3 linked regions of the Alligator mississippiensis genome follow. The protein of the gene in region 1 interacts with the protein of each later gene in a biochemical or structural test. Links are inferred from orthologs where the notes say so. Each region holds a gene or a part of one and is shown on either strand. Other genes may lie near its edges.

Evidence for each region.
Region 2: the proteins of RBBP8 (region 1) and KLHL15 form a complex in vitro, tested with the Homo sapiens proteins (2 studies listed by BioGRID, with this or other methods). The link is inferred for Alligator mississippiensis from reciprocal best matches to the Homo sapiens genes RBBP8 and KLHL15.
Region 3: the proteins of RBBP8 (region 1) and SIAH2 form a complex in vitro, tested with the Homo sapiens proteins (2 studies listed by BioGRID). The link is inferred for Alligator mississippiensis from reciprocal best matches to the Homo sapiens genes RBBP8 and SIAH2.

What each region holds. Positions count from the first base shown.
Region 1 is NC_081826.1:87,334,146-87,341,172, forward strand, and holds the start of RBBP8 (DNA endonuclease RBBP8), read right to left. Parts: upstream 3,090-7,027; 5' UTR 2,936-3,089; intron 2,483-2,935; 5' UTR 2,424-2,482; intron 1-2,423. UniProt on the Homo sapiens protein: Endonuclease that cooperates with the MRE11-RAD50-NBN (MRN) complex in DNA-end resection, the first step of double-strand break (DSB) repair through the homologous recombination (HR) pathway.
Region 2 is NC_081824.1:315,931,445-315,938,435, reverse strand, and holds the start of KLHL15 (kelch-like protein 15), read right to left. Parts: upstream 3,030-6,991; 5' UTR 2,863-3,029; intron 1-2,862. UniProt on the Homo sapiens protein: Substrate-specific adapter for CUL3 E3 ubiquitin-protein ligase complex.
Region 3 is NC_081830.1:62,023,474-62,030,974, reverse strand, and holds the start of SIAH2 (E3 ubiquitin-protein ligase SIAH2), read left to right. Parts: upstream 1-4,413; 5' UTR 4,414-4,612; coding exon 4,613-5,023; intron 5,024-7,501. UniProt on the Homo sapiens protein: E3 ubiquitin-protein ligase that mediates ubiquitination and subsequent proteasomal degradation of target proteins.

The sequences.
Region 1 (7,027 bases):
AGTGCACCTTGTGCTGCTGCTAGGCCCCAGGAAACATCTGTCATGCACGTGCTGGCACATGTCAAGTTACCCCTGGTAGGATAGGGTAGGCTGAGGCCAGCACTGGGCTGGCCCCAGCAGCCTTACTTAGGGTTCTGGTGGCCTCCAAGGGCTGCATCAGTGGTGATCCTGACGTGCAGAGCCTGGCCAGCAGCAGAATGCAGCTCTGGCTGGCCAGGCTCCACTTTGGCCAACCCACGCTGCCACCGCGTATCACTCCATGTCTTTTCTCTGCAGGTTTTTTTGATCCCTGGTGTCCAGGGGTCAAAAAATCCCTCCGTGCTGCTCCCTTGTGACACAGAGAACAACTGAACGTGTGGTATATAGCACTGCAGACATGTATGCAGCGCCACATACCACATTGCCACGTCCAGACTAGTGCAGCCATAGTTACCTCCAAAATAGTCTCTCTCACTCTGATCCTTTTCCATTTATCAGCCTGATACTATTTATCTATTTTTTCCTGTGAGCTTAATTTGAATAGTTAGCAAGTATGCTTGGTTCAAAGACTCTAAGCAGCAATGTGCCTGAGTTTTATTAATATAATCCAGAGAGGAATCCTAAGTGTATAAGTACTGTGTAGCTGTTCTAATGGCATAATGTGTTTATTTCAGCCATGGAAAATCATGAAAGTTTACCAGCCCAGAACTCATGTTGCTTTCTATGTGAATGATGAGAATTTTAGAGGAAAAACTGTCAAAGCCATATGTAATATATGGCATATCTGTCAAAAACAGACACTTCTGCCAAAACTAAACACAAAACCAGTTACTTTAGGAGCGTGGGCAACTATTAATTCACATGGCTCACTATTTAGTTGAAATTTAACAAATATGCTGTGTTCCAGGGCTCAAGACTTGGAAAACAAATTACTGTGGAACCATTTTATAGTTTAGAAGGCATCTTCTACCAGGTACAAAGTAGCTTTTGAATAAGAACAAATTAAGCACTTACATTTCTTGACAATGTCTTTTTTAATAGCAGGGCTTCAAGCAACCATTGATATACTACTAGAGTAAGAATGCAAATAATGGTACTATTTTACTGTACTGCTGTGGTGCGTTTCATCTAAGGATCTCAAAATTCTCTGGAGACATTAATTAATTAAGCCTTGCAACAACCCTGCAAAGTATTACCACCACAATTTTATAGCAAGGGAATTTATGCACCAAGAGATGGAGAGGCAGACCATGACTGTAATGAACGGAATGTCTAACTCATTCTCTTATCACTAGAACACAATGCTATTCAATTACCATTAACTAGAACACTGGATCAGAAATGTTTGATATACACAAATACACATATGCTACTACCAAAACAGATGCAGGAAATATTTTTATGAATTAAACTTATCACCTGACAAAATGTACATCAGATAACGAGCAGTTTAACTGGTTATTCATGTTCCCTATTTTGGGAAAATTACATATTCTTTAAAATATGCAACACTTCCTTTAATGATTTATAATTTTCATCAGCAATCAGAAATTTTAACCCCTAAAATTAAACTATTTCTTCTAAACAGTATTCTCAGCCTATACAGAAGAAACATCTTTTTCTTCTTGCTCTTTTTCCCACACTTTGAAGAAAATCTCTAGTTTTAACAAGCAGACTCAGTGCTACCAGTGAGAAGGTTATTTCAGCCTTCCATTCAGAGCTTTTAGGTGCTCAGGAAGCCTATTTACTGGTATTCTACTAAAGAGTTATAAACAAGATGTAAATTTTTACATCAACCTGTAAATGGCGTATAGTAAATACTTACCATGATAAGGGTTCTGTTACAAGATTATTATCCTGAGTCTCACATACTCCTATACATACCTTCATTTCCCTTAAGCAACACTAAAATACAATTCATCAGGCACAAAATTGTTCATTACATCACATCACACAGGTGAACTGTAATTATTTTATCTAAAGACACACTAAAATAAGCTTCCTGGGGACATGGAAGTGGTTAGAGGATGGTTTTCAAAAGTTTAGTTACACAGATGACAGGAAGATTCACATTTACTTCAGCTAAAGAATCATTTTGTCCTAACAGGCATGACAAAACCTGTCTTCATTCCTTTCTGTTCAGCTCAGCTAGTACTTCCTGAGTTCCAGTAGTTAATCAGTTACCAGATTCCAGAGCTTTTGTTTTCTATGCCATTTATTTTTCCTTATTTGACGCTGTACTTGTAAACGATCCAGAGCCCAAACCCTCACAAATTTCAGAGCTGTCAGGAGTAGGTTTATTATTTGGATTCATTTATATTTGTATTGCTACTCTGAATTACTTATTACACACAAAACATGTTTGTGAAGCCTTTATTTGGTAAGTAAGGGAAAGTTAATAATAGTTCTTTATTTTTAAGAAACAGTTTGCTTTCAACACTCACCACTAAGTCAGTTATGCATGTGCTAAACCAAATTTTGCCAAGTAAGTTATTCCATAAACCTGCAAAATTTAAAATAAAAGTGTTGGTCTAACAAGAAATAGATAATAGTATCAACATTTAGTACCTTATAACACTTTACCTTATCACAATACCCCTCTGAGATGGTTCTGTCTTAAGACAGTTAAGTGACTTGCCCAAGTTGATACACCGAGTCAATGGCAACACCCTAATTAGTATTCAGATATTCCTGTCTCCTACTACTGTACAATTAATTAGACAATTCTCTCCATTAAATGTTATTAGATAAAGATGGAATAGCTGATGTTTACCTACATACAGAAGTGTCAGAAGTTATACAAATGATGTCACTTAGAAACACAGAAGCTGGAGCTAATGGTATATAGTAAACAGATCCATACAAAAAACATTCACTACAAATTTAAGTGCAGTAACACTGAATTTCAGAGTTAGATTTTCTTAAATTACTTTAAAATTTTTTTTTTAAAACTCACCCTTTTGTTTTAATTGTGAAAGGTTCTGTTCTTGATCAGGGAAGGTGAATACTTACTGCTGACTTCCCCTCAAGCTATAAACCTAAAGCATAAGTGAGATGAGGAATTCACTGTGGACCACACTGAAGAATGCTGAGATGAGATCTGCTGCACCTAAGATATATACAATGTGCAATGGATAACCTAATATGCCTTTCATTTAACTGGCTGGGCAGGTTTCTACATTCTGTAGAACATGGAATCATACCAGAATTTGTTGGCATAACAGGCCTGCCAAACCGGTTTCTCAGTAGAACAGGAACCTGCCCAACCAGTCTGCATCAAAGGCCAGCCTAACATGCTGCAGCTCAACTCAGTTCAGCTAGGCTTCGTAGATGGTGAATTATTCACGCCTCCGTCAACTCCCAGCGCACCACTGATAGAATGATGTAGCCTCCAGCAAAATAATTTGCTGAGGGATGAGGGAGTGATATATCCATGTCAAATCCAGAAAGATCCTATTGTTGTAAACTCTTTCATTGCATTACGAAATGCATTGTTTTAGGAGATTTACTTTTCACTAGCATAAACAGGGAAGAAAACTATTTTAAAGCAATAACAACATAAGTTTATTGTAATTAAATAACACCACATATTTAGCACAACTGTCATGACAAAAACAAAACATTAACAAATTCTGCTCTCCTCTTAAGACCTCTCCCCATCCATAGATACTATCTTACCTATTGGAAACAAGTCTTCCCTTGCATATAGAGAAAGGATGCTGAGAGAGCTTGCACAGAAGGTTTGAAACTCATGTTCTCTGTAGGGCTGTATCTGCCCACATGTCATCTGGTTCTGTAAAAAGATTTTCCAGGGTTAGAGGCAGTGCAATGTGTGTGCAGTGCACCCACCCCTGTGCAGAACTACTTAGATGTCATCACCCTTCTGTGGTAGAGAGGACAAAGCTGCTGGGCATGCTACTATAGCACCCTGCAGTAGGAGCTACAGTGCAGCCCCTGGATAGTGTGGGGACAAGAATACTTACAGAACTGCTCTGAGCAAAGCCTATGTATTCTAGCTATATGCAGAGACCAGGATTTGCCTGGTATTACCTTCTTCCAAACAGGAACACAGACCAGAATTTATACAGTTTGTTACATGATTTTCAAAGGTGCTAAGTACCTCTGTCTTCTCCTGAAGCCAATGGTTGTAGATATTTAACACTCATAAAATTAGACTGTATTTACCTAAGGTGAGGTTTCTAGAGGCATAATTGGGGCTCATTTAACTTTTACTTAAGAGCCTCACTTTAGGACCAGTACTTAGGCTTGACAAAGGCATTGGTAAAGTTAGAAACATGTACATTTATTCATGATGTAACCTAATCATGGAATTTGTATATACTTCTTCAGATCCCTACTTGTTATTTATGAATTTTAATAGCTATTCAACCTCCAATGCTTAGAGCAGAGGAAATAAGCCTCACCTTTAACCAAGCTTATGCAATGCAACCACTTTTTCATCATAGCCCAGCATAGATCAAAGCAAGGAATGGAGATGTTTGCAAGAAACCTACTGAAGTATCTGTTGTCCTGTGTGAAGGTAAAGCTGAATGTGAGGCTATATTTTGTGAAGTATTTGGAAAGTAGGAGCTACCACTGGAGAAGGCAATGAGATTCCTAACTTTCAGCCAAGTTGACAGATGTTCGCTGTTTATGCTTGCAGTCATACCACCTAAGGCTATGATTTTATGCAGCTAAGCAGGGTTGGGTTTGGTCAGTACTTGGCTAAGAGTCTTAACAAGTAAAACTGCCGCAGGAAGTGGTTTTGGTGATTCAGTAGGCGGTACTGAGTAGTTATGAAGCAATGCAAGCATTAGACAGGGAGTACAGAGTGCTAAAGGTACCATATTTGTGATAAAATATGAAACAGAAGATGTGGAAACTTGGGATTTTTAATTATTTCCTAGCATTTTTCACATAAGATGTAGATTTTTAACAAGTATCCTTGTCAAATTTGAAATAAAATTTCTCTGGAAGTTTCAATTGGAGACAGTATTCTTCATTTTGTTTCCCAAAATGTTGTGCAGTGCTGCTGAGCAGTACTAAATGGCTGCTACATTCTTTCCAGAAATGGGTCTATTTTTAAAGTGGTTAATTCAATCCTCTTTATTGTATTTAAATTGTAAAGTGTATTATTTAGATTGTAAAGATATATAGACTCATTAGAAGTGTTGCACATATACTTGATTTCATACTGAATATGAAATATACTGAGGAAAAAATCATATGATTTATTTGATTTTGGTATTTCTAATGTTGGCAATATTATATCACCTAACAGACTGAGGTATATTTTTTAAAGTTCATCCACAGTTAGTGTTAATTTTAGAAATACCTTATCCTGTTAAGAGTTTGACTGTAATTAACTCCTAGAACTCATTGCCACAAGGTATTGTAATGGCTGATAATTTAATCAGTTCAAGAGGGAACTGGAAAAAATCAGAGGTCCATCAGTTGCTATTAGATATGTTAGTTTTGAGTCTAACCTCAAAATCAGGATTTCCTAAACATCTGAACCTGGAAGCCACAGAGGAGAGGGGCAGGGGATAGATCATCTGGATAGGTTTCACATAAATACTCTGGCAGACAAGGTTCTTTGGGTAAATTGGATGTCTTTTATTAAACATTATTTTTCTTTTTAAGCTTTTGAGCACAAACACCCTTCTTCAGGCTGAGAAAGCATCTGCAATTGGTCTGTGGTCTTCCTGGTTGGAATGAATAGTAAAGCAGCCAGGGGCTGGTATACATGCAAGAAAATCAGTCAGTGACTATGTAAGTTGAAGAGTCAATGGGTGAGAGAGAGGCTGGGGGTGGGGAGGGTGAATGTAGCTGGTAAATAGTGGAGAGGTACCCGGGGAGTCAGATGTTAGGCAGGTATATGTCATAAATCCAATGTCTATACTTAGTCCATGATTTTTTGATCCAGTAGGTTGATGAAGTGAAGTTTGTAGGCTCATCTGTGAAAGGTATTTTGTAAATTCCCTTTGAGGATTAGAACTGAGAGACTGGAGAGAGAGTGGTTTTTCTTGTGATAAATGTGCCCCCACAGGTAATTGGGTATTCTTGTCTTTGATAGATTACCAGTGTGTGTTCATTCTGGTACACAGTTGTTGTTTCGTCTCTCCTATGTATTTTCCATCAGGGCATTTGGTGCATTGGATGAGATATAGGAGGTACAGCTGTGAGATCCAGGAATGCTGAAGGTTCTGTTGTGGGGGTGGTGGAGATATATTGTCAGGTTTTAGATTTCTTGTCATGGCATGGCCTGGATCCATTCGGTGTGTTTTGGGCCTTGTTTGCCTATGCTCTTAGACCAACCTAGCTACAACCTATACCTCAACACATAAATACTCTTACCCTGAAGCATCTAGTCATGCCATGGTGAGAAAGAGACTACTGAATTAGATGGATCTGTGGTCTAACCCACTATGGCATTTCTTACATTCTTATGTTTTCTATATACATAATGTATGTTTTTGGATGATTAAGGACAAGAAATCTGTGTCATGTAGAAGTTTGGTTTCCAAAAAGAGAAGTGAAATAAAACTCTTTCTTTTCACTAAACTTCAGAAAGGACGTGGACAAGTTGGAGAGAGTCCAGTGGAGGGCAATGAAAATGGTTAGGGGGCTGGGTCACATGACTTGTCAGAAGAGCCTCAGGGAACTGGATTTATTTAATCTGCAGAAAAGAAGATTGGGGGCAGGGGGAGGAGAGAACTTGATAGCAGCCTTTAACTACCTGAAGGGTACTTACAAAGAGGACGAAGCTAGACTGTTCTCAGTGGCAGCAGATGACAGAACAAGGAACAATGGTTTCAAGTTGCAGCAAGGGAAGTTTAGACTGGATATTAGGGAAAACTTTCTCACTAGGAGGGTAGTAAAGCAGTGGAACAGGTTACCTAGAAAGATGGTGGAATCTTCATCCTTGGAGGTTTTTAAAGCCTAGCTTGACAAAGCTGTGGCTGGAATGGTCTAGTTGGGGATGGTCATGCTTTGAGCAGTGGATTGAACTAGATGACCCATTAAGGCCCTTTCCAACCCTAATTTT
Region 2 (6,991 bases), on another chromosome or scaffold:
TGTCCCCCGGCAGCCAATCCTGCTGTCCAGTGGGGGAACTGATTTCACTCTCAATAAAAGTGGCCACGCCACTTCCGGAACTCCATCGGCCACTTCCAGAAGTGGCGCGGCTGCTTTTGCTGGCAGCCTCGCTCCCCACTCGATGCTCACAGAAGGGGCACTGGTGTTCCTGCCTCCCCCCCTGCTACACAGAGAGCATGGCCTGACAGGGGATGGACCAGTGCTCTCAGGGGATGCATGTGCACTCCCATGCACCCTCTACACATTGCCCCCGTCAGGCAAGAGAAAGCAGATTCTAAGAATCAGGGCAGCATCATTTTATATTATGACACACAGCAATTTACAATTTGCTGTGTGAATGGACCACTAAAACCATATGCAATAATTATCAAAAGAAGAGTTCTGACAAACATATGCTTGGCAGCCATTTTAACATATACTTCCAGAGGCAGGAAATGCAGATACGGAACCCGTTAGAATTTCCCATAACTCAAAACTGGATAAGATAGAGACAGATATAATTTCATTAACTAAAATAACAGGTTTTGGAGAGGTCTTACAACATTTCAATTTAATATCATTATGATTATGTCTTAGCTGCAATCAACATGCGACTACAGCTCACATAAACACATCCAAGCTAGCTTTAAACTAGAGATGTAAATGGTTAAACCAGGGGTTAGCAACATTTTTGACTGCAGTGCCAAAACAACCCAACTGGACCCAGGCCCCAACATGGCATGCCAGAGGCAGATGGCGCAAGGGGCCCTATCCTCATTGCTAGTGGTGGGCACATGCATGCCTCCAGACGGACTGCAGGGGAAGGGCTGGGATTGTGCTGCCCCAGGCCCTCCCCCACCATGCGCCCCAAGGTGCGTGTGCAGCTGACATCACCACAGAGCCGGTGCCAGGGCTCCGGACCCTGGTGCACCTGTTTGCAGCCTGCCTGCCTGCCACCTGCTGCAGCTACCTAGAGATAGGCTAGATGTGGCAGGCAGCAGGGAGCTCCAGCCAGGTTCTGTGGCAGCAACACCTGCACCTTCGCCTGGGAGCACACAGCTGGAAGAGGGCCTCACATAGTGCAACCCCCGCCATCTGCCCCAGGACATGTCTATAGATGCTGCCACCATGGAGCCCAGCCGGAGCCTAGTGCAACAGTTTGTATCCTCTGGGATGTTGGCTGCTGCCTGCCATGGAGTCTGGTGGTAGCTGCTCAAAGTCCAAGCCAGCTGTGGCATGAGAGCAAAATGGCCTTGCATGCCATGTTCTGGCACGTGCTGGGTTTGCCGACCCATGGGTTAAACATTTAACCATATTCGCAGGTTAGCATTTAGTGTGGAGTGGGGAGCAGTCCAGTGGAGAAAGTCGCAGGGTGACCCTGAAGGTGGCAGGGCAGGCAGGAGAGAGTACCCCTGGCTCTTTCTGCCATCCACCCCAAGGCACGCATACTCCTGCCACTGGTAAGGAGACAAATCAGGGCCCTGCAGACCCCCATGCAACCACTTGTAGCCTCCCAGCCTCCTACCACAGCCGGCATAGGCTCCAGCCAGGTCCCTGGAAAGGCTGGAAAAGCCCCTTGTCTGCTGCTGCCACCCAGTAAATATGGGAGCACAGGCGGGGCAGGTCCCCAGGAGATACCGGTTATGGGTTACCTGTTTAACTGATAACATTCCAGGAGTTTAAACACATACTTCATTAACCAGTATTTATATCCCTACTTTAAACTAGCTCAGATATTAAACCATTGGCAGCACGGGGTCAACACATTCTCTGGACCCTGCCCAGTAAATTGGGGAGATGCCTCAACAACGGAGGACAGGACAGACCTCTTTGGTGCCACAGCTGCTGGTACCAAGCTACTGATATAAAGATGGCTTTGTTGCATCTATCCAAGCGAGAGTCACACACCCCTGACTCCAGCAGAGCCATGGCAGCCGTTCTCAAACTTTAAACCAACGGACTGCGGTAATAATGCGATTTTTCCCTATTTCATGTGACATAGCTTCTATAGTACATACTAGAACAACCACCTTCCTTTAAAGATTTAGTTACAACACACAGCATCAGAGTATCCCATAATGCAGTGGTCCCTCAACCTTTTTTGTACCGGGACCACCTTGTAAACATCAATGGCCAGTCCCCAGCCAGTAAATAGTTTAAGTGTAATACAGCCCACTGGCCCTGCCGGCACCCCTCACTCCCAACCTGCCCAGGTTGTGGGGCAAGCGGTGCATGGGGGGGTGGCCCGCAAGCAGCCCCTTGCAGGCTGAAACTCTGCCAGCCTGCAAAGAAAACCCATGGCTCCCCACTTTTCCTCCTTTAAAGGAGAACCCATTTTTAACAAGTTTGTTCACAGCCCTTTCACATTCTTGCAACTCACTTTTGAGTCGTGACCCACAGGTTGAGAAACACTGGGGCAACCAATACAGTCATCAGGAGTAACTCAGGTGAATCAATAGACTAAGGGGGATGTTTTCAACACAAGCACGCATTTTCAAGGCAAATACTCCTGACCCATCAGTACCGCACCCTGGAAGAATGAAACGTCATCCAACCCTCCAGGAAAACGGGTTGCGGAGCGGCTGGTATCAAAGCGGAGTTGATCGGCTCACACTAACTGCGGGAAATTGAGCAGTACAGTCAAAAAACTACACAGCCCTGGGGGCCGCTCATGTCAGAACTCAAGAGCTTAAGACGGGCAGACTCCTCCCGTCCTCAGCCCCTTCCCCGGCCCCACCCGCAGTTAAGGCAGCCCCGAGCACGTGAGAAGCGGCGGCCCTCCCGGGCGACACGGGCCCGGCAGCTGCAGGGCGGGAGGCTGCGGCGCGGCTCGGGGCGGGGTAGGAGGGACGCGGCACCTACCCGTGGGCGGCGGCGCTGCGGCGCGGGCTGGCCCCGCGGGGCCCCGCTGGAACATACAGCCGGCGGGCGCGGGGGAAGCCGCCCTGCCCCTCCCCTCCTTTTCTCCCCCCCCCCACGCCGGGCCGCGCTCACGGCTGCCGGCCGCGTTCCCTGCCCAGCGCAGCCTCAGCCGCCATCTTCCGCCAGCCGCGCGCACCCGCTCCGCTCACGCGTCACTTCCGGCGCCCGCCCCCTCCCGCCTCACGCCGCAGACCCCCTTCCCCAGCAGCCGTCAGGGGCTCGCGCGACGCCCCGCCCCTCCGGGGCCGCGTGGATCCTGCCTGTCAGTGGGTCTGCGCTGAACACCCGCAGCCCAGGCCTGGTCTGCGAACAGTCTGGCAGCTGCCCGGGGGCCGGGGACCTGCCTGCGTGGGGGGAGCAGCTGAACCCCCAGACTGACGGGCTTACTCCGTTGTGCAACCTTATGAGCTTCACTCGAGCTTTGCTCGGCTGAGTTTTGGAACTGATCTGGTTCTTGCGGGAATATATAGATAAATAGATATATATGGAGAGAGGGAGATCTCCCTATATATAGAGATATAGCTATATAGAGAGAGAGAAATGGAAGATGGATAGATATAGATATCCCCCAAGCAATATATATATAAATCTTTATAAACTTTTGAACTTTGTGCACCCGAGTTTTGGAACTGATCTGGTCTTTTGAAATAGACATACACATGCACGCGCATTTGTATATCACACGGACATTCATATATAGGTGTGAGCAGAGTTTATAAGCACGTGTGTGTGTGTGTGTGTGTGTGTGTGTGTGTATATATATATGTGAATCTGTGTTAAAAATTCAGCTGAACAAAGTTCAGGAGTTTATAGATATGAATGAGTGTGCTTATATATTTCAAATGCCAAGTCAGTACCAAAAGGCAGCTGGGCAAAGCTTGAGTTTATAAGCAGATATCTCTATATATATCGATATCTTTCCATCTATATATCTCTCTATATATAATACAGATATATATGAATACAGTGATTTATATCTATATATAGGTATATAGCTAGATAGCTATAGGCTATCCACCTATACACACACAGAGATATATAGGAGTACAATGATTGATATGTATCAATCAGTATTCATATATATCTATATGTGTATATATAGGTGGTTAGCCAATAGGTATATAGAGATATATATCTATATATATATATAGATATATATACATGTAGTGATTGATATATATATAGCTGCTTATTTTAACCCATCCTGGATGGTGCCCCCAGATGTAAGCAGTGGCAGTGCATAGTCCCATCAATTTACATGAGCAACCTCAGCATTCCCAAATGCAGGTCACCAACAACAAAGGAGGTATGTCTAATAAGGATATTGCTATACTGAAATATACACTGTATTCATCCTTAGCGTAAAAAAAAACAGTCTGTGTGCCCTTCCAGAAATTTGATAAAACTTGACAGATACTAAATCGCTTCTAAATCTATACCAGGATTTGACAAAAACATAACATAAGTCTGCAGAGTTTCATGCTACACTCACTTCATTGATTGAACTATACAGCTGAATAGATTTAGGAGGCTTCTTTAACCATTTAGAATGGAGTTCTGCCCTACCTTCAATGTTTTTGTATGGCAACCATACTAAAGTATTACATCATATTCCCATTATCCTCAGTGTGTCCCAATAACAGGTTTTCATTGTGGATTTCCCAGTGGTAAGATAATTTATAGAATATAATGTCTACAACAGATTGATTAAAAGTTAGGTATTAGGAAATATTTTTCATGTCCATGTGCAAAATTAACATAATGCAGGATCATTTACATCTTATTTATAGCATTATCTTTTCTTATAACATATGATTGTCCTTTTTACATTTGAATATGTTTCTTTAAAAACAGAGTATCAGGAATATCCATCCCTATGTGTAAAAAAAAAATCCAACACTTGCTTTGGGAAAGGGGAGTGGCCATTAGTGTTTATGAGACTAGGTGACTATGAGCACTGATAAGACAGGTATCACACATCAGTTTTGGAATAACTTCTATCATCAGGTCTCCATTGTAGGGACTGACTGTGTATTCCCTACCTATAGGTAACCCTTCTAATCCATGCAGTTCAGGGCCCTGCAGGTTATAATTCATAAGAGGAAAACTAATTAGCTCAATATCTTTGCTATAATCCTGTTTGTTAATAAAGAAGGCTCAAAACCCTGTTTCCATGACCACAGGAAGAATCTTTGCTCATTTCTCCAAGCCATTTTCACCCAACACTCAGCCCATAACTCCTCTCTAGACTTTCCTCTCAGGCCTGTCTGGCATTCTGCTCCTTCTGTGCATTTGTCTGAGATGTTTCTACTACTCCCCTTTCTTGTATGCGTTTTTCGAAAAGCAGTACCAAGCTGTGCCCCTCTCCTAAGTCATTTAGTAGACGCACATGTAACTTTGTTTTGCAGTGACACACGTTGACAGTACCAGCTACTATTGTTTCATAAAGGAGCTTAGCCAACCACAATTCAATTAATCTTATATGAAGGACTGCAGTTAAATCCATCAGCTTAATGTTTTGCCTGTCTCATAACACTACCTATATCTCCTCTATTTATTTCAATTGGAATTTCACACACAAGCCTGTACCTGAAAACACATGTATGTACATGAGTGTCCCCTTTTATTTCAATGGGATTGTACAAATGCATAAAATTGCAAAGGTTTAGGTTGTAGCCGTGTAACAATGCCAGGGTCTTAACTGTACAGCAGTTAATCTGGCCTGGAGGCTTAACAGTGCCATAGGGTCTGCCTGCATAGATCTGCTTGAGCTTTCAAGACTTCTGTTGATGAACAGCAGCTGCCACAAAGCCACCATGTGCCACTGCAGATCTGAGTGTCTCCAATACAGCAGCTGTGCCACCAGCGTGCACCCTGGGAAGGCACTTGCAGCTGAATGGGACTGTGGCAGCCAGCTGAATATACAAGAGTGTCTTCTCCTGCTTTCAGCCAGGTGCTGGGCAGTGACAGGTGCTTGGCCCAGTCATTCCATCCAGGAAGAGCATGCAGCAACTGCTGCAGCATCCTTAGCCTGACGAAGGGTTTTTGAACCCGAAAGCTTGCTTAATAACTATTCTCCAACCATTTGGGTTGGTCTAATAAAAGATATCAAATTCACCCAAGAAACCTTGTCTGCCTAAAACTGCAAATGTTGTAGTAAGCAAGGAGATAAAGAACATTTGCAGGATCGCATTTTTTGGACTACAAAAAACCCACTCAGATTGTAAGTGAAACCTTCCCTGGATTTCCTCAGTATGGAGCGTAAGATCAGGATTCTAGGTTAAATAAAGCAGCAGAGGTGCTAAGTGGTGTAGCAGAAGATTTTCACTTTCCAGTCTCATATCTTAGGCCTAATCCATACTACAAATGTCGCTTGAAGGTCTACAGCTCTGTGTGAGAAACCCTTAAGGACATGCACTCTCATAGCCTCTCTGCAGTGCCAGGACCCTCCACTCTCCTGGCAAAATAAGTCCACCTGTGCCAAGCAGGGCCAAACACCTGTCACTGCCCAGCACGTGGCTGAAAGCAGGAGAAGACACTCATGTATATTCAGCTGGCTGCCACAGTCCCATTCAGCTGCAAGTGCCTTCCCAGGGTGCACGCTGGTGGCACAGCTGCTGTATTGGAGACACTCAGATCTGCAGTGGCACATGGTGGCTTTGTGGCAGCTGCTGTTCATCAACAGAAGTCTTGAAAGCTCAAGCAGATCTATGCAGGCAGACCCTATGGTACTGTTAAGCCTCCAGGCCAGATTAACTGCTGTACAGTTAAGACCCTGGCATTGTTTTCTGGCATCTCTTAATTGGGGTTACCAGCTCCTAAAAGTATTACCAGTATTACCTGCTCCTTGTTCTGGGCTGGAACCAGAAGGTAAGTGGCCGTAATGGGTGGGAGCAGGGAAGGCAGTGGTAGGGGACAGAGGCAGCAGGGGAGGGAAAGGTGGGCAGTGGCTGCAGCTGTGACTCTGACCCCAGGTTCTGGTGGGAGTTGGAGCTGCAGTAGCTGCATCTGCATTCTCCCTGCCCCTGATGATATGAGTATGTAAAACAAGCTGTTTATATCTGGGAGG
Region 3 (7,501 bases), on another chromosome or scaffold:
CCTGAGGATAGAGGTGAGACTAACCAATCTGTAGTTACCCAGATTCTCCTTCCTCCCCTTCTTGAAAACAGGGACCACATTAGCCCTTTTCTAGTCCTTTGGGACCTGACCTGAGCACCTTGAGTGCTCAAACAGCCATGCCAGTGGCTCTGCTATGACACCAGCCAATTCCTTCAGCACCCTTGGATGAAGTTCATCCAGGCCTGCTGACTTAAAAACATCCAGCCCCTCCAAGTGTCCCTTCACTCAGTCAGCGCCAACAGTTGGTGGGCTGGTCTCCCTTTTGTGCCTGTCTATGATCCAATTGGGAGATTTGTCCCGATCCATGTTCAGGAATACAACAGAAAAAAACCTCATTGAAGAGCTCAGCCTTGTCCCCATCTGCACTAATGGCCCTAGTTTGTCCTGTAGGGGTCCGATGCTACCCTGTGCCTTCTTTTTACTCCCTATATACTTGAAGAAAGACTTTTTACTGTCTTTAATTTTTGTTGCCAGTCTAAGTTCCATTTCTGGTTTGGCCTGTCTGACTGCCTCCCTGCAAGTGCGGGCCAAGTAGGTATGCTCTGCCTTGGTAGCTACTCCTTTTCCTTTCAGTGCATTCAAATTGAACAGGGCTCTTTAGGGAAAAGATTCTTATTGACACAGTCAGGTACACAACTAATATTCTGGGTTCTGTCTACCTATTAACTTAAAAAAAAATCCTCTTATGGACCTTACCCTAGGACATTGCTACAAAACGTGGTATAAAATACAAGCTTTTATCACTAGGTATGATTAACTGTACATGATTTAATTAGTTACTGATATGCTAAAAAATAGTTGTAAAATTCTACATTTTCATTAGAAATGCATGACTCATGATTTTTTCCTCCTGTTTTTCCCTTTAACCCATAAATACTTTGCATGACTTCACAGGGCACAAAAGGACTCTGCAAATGTGACAGAAAAATAATGAACTCCCAACACTTGAAATTACTGTCACTTTCCCTTAAATGAAAGTTCTGCCCAGATAGAAACTTAATTAAGAATCTTGCTAGTGCTTAGAATCAAGGATGAGTCATGCAACTGCACATACCAGAGGAACCTTGCTAATTATATCATTGCACTGAAGTGCTGAGAAAAGACTGAACAGCATGTATCTGATACAGAAGCAAGTACAGACAGCCTCTAGAGTCTAGTTGCAGCAACTGATGGAAAACTAGTCTAAGTAAAACACCTTCATTGTGCTGGCAAGGTAATTTTCCAGTTATACTTCATGACTAACTGGTAGTTCTGATGGGTCACGCTGGACATGGGGTTTTCCACAACCCTTAATCGAAATGATTCAATCTTTAACCTCTGCATGTGGAAGGCTATGAGGACATCAATGCCTGATGAACATCGAATTGACATAAATAAGCATACTCAAGTAGGGCACTTTCCCCACTACAAGGAAATATCTTCCTACTTTTTTGCTGCATTTCGTTAACATTGAAAGAAAAGCTGTGAGATTTTTCTTCCAAAAGCAAAGGTTCTCCACCTGTGTAATGCTGTTAAGACAGAAAAGCCTTCAACCACATTAAATTTGATTTTCAAACTTCACTTAGCTTGGACAATGAAAGCAGCCTAATCAATTCCACTTGCTCAGTCTCATACACTAACACACCACCACAGTTTTCACATGTGGTGCAAACCCTACAGGAAAGGGGGGGAAACCAACCCAAGCCACCAACCCCAGCAATTTTTATCGCCAACTCTACAGGAGACCTTGGCCATTCGCTGGGGATATGTTCTGGAGATCCCCGCAAATGGCGAAATCCATGAATACTGACGAGGCTCCCTGTCGGACCCCACAGCCACCCCCTGCTCCCCCCCACATTGTTCACGGGGCTCCCCCGCAGTGCCTGGGGACCAACCCCTTCCCCCCGAGCACTGCCGTGGCTGCTCTGCACAGCAGCAGTGGCAGAAAAGATGCCACCATCGCCACCTCCCTCCCTGTCCCCGGGGCTCCCCCACAGCACCTGGAGACCGACCCCTTCTCCGCCCAAGTGCCATCACGGCTGACTCCAGGAGAGAACATGCCACTGCTACCACCACCACCACTACCTCCTCCTTCCAAACCCTTGGCGCTTGTTCTCTGCCCGCCTCCCAGCTCTGCCCTCCCCCGTGAATATTTGAATAGTGAAGTTCGCGAATAGCGAGGGTTTCCTGTATATAGATGTTATGAAACTAACTTTGAAACAATATGGAGATGCAGGCCCATGTCCTGCAAGGGTATCAAACTCATGGGTTTAGACCCAAAGTTTATCTTTGCCCACGATTACAACACAACTATACTTACTTGCTCTGGGTTGCTCCCTCAACCAACATATTCTTCTTCATTCACACATACTGGTAGTTTTTGCAATATCTACCGCTGCGCACTGCTGTTGAATAGTTTGTTCCTACAAACTGTTCAACTTAAGCCTCCAAAGACACAGATAAAAACGACAACAATGCACACTGCCAATGTCCTTTACCAATGGCCTCGAATGTTCCATCCCTTCTGAATGCTCATAACAGCTGACATTATGAAGCCATTTGCATTCTGCTATACTGCACTGAATACTTTTTTCCCAACCTGCCAGAAACAACAGCTATTGAGCACAAGCCCTGTTGGTTCTCAGCTGATGTACTACACAACCAACAAGCCTGCAGAATGGGAAGATTTTAAGGTGGCTCTTCTTTCTCTAACCCAGTGGTTCTCATCCAGGGTGTTGCACTGTGGCTGCAGCCAGGTAAGACTACCCTGGTGCACACTCCTGCTGCTTTCTGATCAGCCTAAAGTAGGCAGGAGCTAGCTCATCTTAGCCTTTCCTGGGCAGGCCCCTCCTACACTCCCCCAAGAGACAGGGGTTTACAGGACAGTTCCACTAAAGTACCCGTTTCTGGCAGGAGCAGGGGAAGGGGCAGGTGAACCAGGAAGGGCTACACAGCATGAGGTGGCTCCTGCCTGCTTTAGGCTGATCAAAAGTCCTACTGCATGAGGAATATGTATACATGCCACAGCTCTTCCTGGGCTGGCTGATAAGCAGGTGCCTGACAGTTTTATCACAGGCAGCAATACCCAGTCAAGTCAAGAAACACTGAAGTGAAGTGAGGAAGCACCAACAGTTCTCAATAGGAGATGCTGCCAATTCATAGAAGTGGTGGAGGGGGAGCCCTGATCCTGAAAAGATTGAGAGCCACTGCTCTAAGCTGTACTTCATCAACGACTGGCCTGAAATTAGTGTAGCTGCATTGGTCAAATTAGACAGCGGTAAGCATGTGTTTGCAGCTGCTGAAATAATGAGATCAGGGCTTTAACTGATGAACATAGCAATCATGACACAATCTAGAAATATCAGCAAAAGTCCATTTCTGAAAATAAATCAGGAGCATTTAATCTTTCTAAGCGCTGCTATTAAGTGCTTGTAGGTCTTCACCAGAAGTTGTAGGAAAATAGTAGTTTATAGGTCTGAGCACACTCAGAAGTCACTACAGGGTCCTTTTGGCCCACTGTCATGAAAGACAAGGCTTCCTTTGAAAGAATATTATGCAGCACAGAGCACATGGGGCTGGTTCAGCAACAGAGCTCATTGGCTCATAAGCTGAATCCAGCGTTGGGGCCTTATGTTTGGCACCCCGGTATAAACCAAATGCTGACCAATATCATTACAGTTTTCTTTAAATGCAGACTGGGTGATATTAGTGTCCATGGTTCGTGTGTGCTTGCTGGTCGGACAGAGTCCGAAAGAAGGAAAAGGATCAAAATCCCAGCCGGCATCCTACTTCCCCTGCAGAAAGACCCGCAACTTCTGTGGACCGATCTGTGGCTCGAGGACTGGACTGAAGTCACCTCAAGACCCATCAATGAGCCACGGTAGAGATCATCCTTGAAAGGAGAGACAATTGACAGCGACGGCGATCGGGAAGAACGAGGCGCAGTCCAGCTTCCTCCTTACGTTTAGACCAAAAAAAAAATCAAACTAGCCAGAGAATACTGACTTTCTCGTGCTTTCACCCGAACTCTACAAACGCATCAGATAAAGTCAACAATCTCCACTCACTGCCTCCCGGGACGGGGGAGGGAGCCGGGCAGGGCCAAAGGAAGAGGGCAAATCCTGCGTCCGTGCCGGGGCCCTGGCTGGATGCCCCATCCGGCCTGAATGGGCGGGAGGCGGGCCGTGGAGCGGGCGGGCGGGAGGCGGACGCCCGGATGAGGTGCGCGGCTGCGCAGGGCTCCAGGCACCCGGGGCCAGGCACTGCTGCCCGCACGCCCGGCGCCGCCTCCCGCCGGCCACGTTGGTCCGGGGCGGCGCCAGGGAGGTCCCCGCGCACGTCAGTGCCCGCCCCGCCCCGCCCCGGCCGCCCGCCCGCGGCGCCGCCCCCGCTCCCCGCTCCCCGCGCGGCGCGGCCTGGCCGGGGCATGCTCAGTAGCCGGCGGGAGCCGCGGGCGCGGGGGAGGCGGCGCTGACGCGGCGGCCCCCTCGTCTCTCCCGCGCCGGGCCGGTGCTGCGGGAGGCCGAGCGCCGCCCGGGGCCCGACCCCCGACCCGGGGTGGCGCTGCGTGGCGCGCCCGCTGCCCGCACGTCCATGGTTTGCTCGGACCGCGATGAGCCGCCCGTCCTCCGCCGGACCCAGCGCTAGCAAAGCCTGCGGCAAGCAGCAGCAGCACGCGCCGTCCCCGGCTGCTGCCCCCGCCGCCGCCGCCACCATCTCGGCCGCCGGCCCCGGCTCGTCTGCGGTGCCCGCCGCGGCCGCGGTGATTGCAGGGCCCGGAGGCGGCGGCGGCGGCGGGGGGCCGGTGTCGCCTCAGCACCACGAGCTGACTTCGCTGTTCGAGTGCCCCGTGTGCTTCGACTATGTGCTGCCCCCCATCCTGCAGTGCCAGGCGGGGCACCTGGTGTGCAACCAATGCCGACAGAAACTGAGCTGCTGCCCCACGTGCAGGGGGTCCCTGACCCCGAGCATCAGGAACCTGGCCATGGAGAAAGTGGCCTCGGCGGTTCTCTTCCCTTGCAAGGTAAGAGCGCCCGGCCCGCGCCTCCCGCTGCAGCACCGCGCCCCAAGGGGCCCCGGCTCCTTGCCCTGCCCTGCCCTGCCCGCCCCGCCCGGCCTCGCCGTGGTTGCAGACTTGCCGAGGCGCGAGCAAGGAGTTTCACTTCCCCTTTCCAGGCTGTAGTGAGCGGAAACATCCTCCACCCCGTCCCAGCCGGGTCACCGGGGGCTCCTGGACCTTGGCCAGGCGCGTGTGTGGCTTCTGTGCAAATACCAGCCCCCCTCGGTCCGCGGAAGCCAAGAAGCTCCTCATTTCTCCTGGAGCGAGTGGGTCCCAAGGACAACACAGTGGGGTGCTTCCCCCCTCCCACCTGGGCAGCAGAGTGCGGCCTGTTGCGGGGAGCACAGTTCCTCCCCGGGGAGAAGGGGTAGGGAGCAGGAAAAGAAACAGGCCGAAGAAGCAGGAACGTGCATCTCCTTGAGCAGGTCTCAAAAGATCTCCCTGCTTTGCCTCTTTGCAGACATGTTCACAGCTTAGTACAGCAGTCTTGCCCTAAGCCTGTTTCACAGCTGTGTCACAAGCTGACATTATGTCTAATTCTGTAATTCAGGCATTTAAGAGGGAGTTGACTGTTGAATCATTGCACGAGCACTGGATTTCTAAAAATGATATTGCATAAGTGGGTAGAGCCCCATTTCATGGTCTGACCTATTCTACAGCATTGTTTTTTGGGCTGGGCCTTGTTTTTGTAGGGCAAATTCCATTCTCTAAGTAACTGTGAAGGAGGAGCTGTGGTTTACCCAACTTGGTATTTTAGCTTGGTCACTAAAGAGGTTGTGAAGATTTTAAAAATATCGCACTCTTACTGACCACTTTTGGCCTATTTAACATTATTATATAGAGAGAAGTGTCATGATTAGTTTACTTACATCTGTGCATCTAGTCAGTTTCACTCCCCCCCCCTTCTAATTCCTGTGGGTTCTTCACACAGGAAAAAGGGGGCCAGAAAAACGCACTGAAAAAGGAAGTGTAACAGAGCTGCAGTTTGAGGGGTACTTGCTTCTTAAACTGACCTTATTTCATGGTATCCTGTAAAGTAAAGGTTTAATCCCTGCTCCTGCCATGGCAAACCACAAAGCATATTTACAAAGTAAGGTTAAACTTAAGTTCAAGGAAAGATAAAACTCTTAAGAGATTTTTTTTTTTTTTATTTCAGTAAGAGAGCATATTGTAAAGATCTATTTAAAAGATCTCTTTAGTGAAATATGCATTCATGACATATCCAACAGATTCTAGCTACACCTATCAGAGCTTTGATTTTCCAGACAAGTCCAGGTCCTACAGTTACTGTGCTAGCATGGGCTTCATGTCAAGTGAGATTCCCAGGGAACTAGCACACATGTCACTTATGTATCTACTTTCAGGATTGGGACAGGAGATCACATAACAAAAGCAACAGACTTTGTGCCATTGTGAGGAGGATTTGATAGCCTGCCCCAGAGGCTGGACTAAAGTTGAGTGAAAAACGTATTTTCCTTCTGGCTCAGAAAAAGTGACAGGAGGCCCTACTGCCCTCTTCATTTCCACCATCTGTGCCTTTGTGCACGTGTCCCAGGCTTTCCAGCTAGCAGCATTTTTGCTCGTTCTGTTACTTTCCAGGCTGAGGCTTGTCCTTGAAATTCCAGCCTTTTTTGTATTTTCAGAATAGTGGCTTTCATGCCCTACCTATATCAATGTTTGTACTTTAAGTTGTAAGGTCACATGACACTGCCACAGCCAGCAACAAAACTCCAGCAGTAACATCTGCCTGTCGTGCATTACAGTTGAAAGTGTTCTTTGTTTTAAGGATCTGTTTTAATTGCTTTATTCTAACATAACTTGGCACTGTAGTTCCAACAAGGATTTGACATTTTACGGTGTATAAATATGCACATGGGTGCATGTACATGCATGCCCCTATAATTGCGTCTCATTTTCTAAAGCTTGTTCACCACAAACAGGACATTTCCTAAATTTGGAATAAAATCTAACAAGTCTAAACAAAACGTATTTCCTGTATCAACTCTGTCCTCGTTCTCCTCACCCCCAAGGCCTGGGTGCTCTTTTAGGCAAGGACCTGGGAAGCAAGGTACATAAATAGGATTCCTTCCTTCAGCATCAGCAGGAAGTCAACCATACGTCTCCAAGTCACATTTCAGCTCTGTGCACAGCTTGGTGTAGAACCCAAGGTGGAATCGCTGATGACAGGGTCTGGACAGAGTATCTGCAGAACATTAAGATTTTATAGCATAAAAAAAAAAAAATTGCTTTTTGAGCACAAAATATTTTTCAGGGCTGAGGTCCTGTGAGTGACTTGGAAAAAAGACTGCTAGCCATTAAGCCGGATCTTATCAGCTAGGAAAGGAATGATGCAGAACAAGGTGTGTGACACTTCAACCAGTTGCATTTTTCAGCCATCCAAAAGGTATAACAGATGTTACTATTGCGGAATTTTTGTAAAAA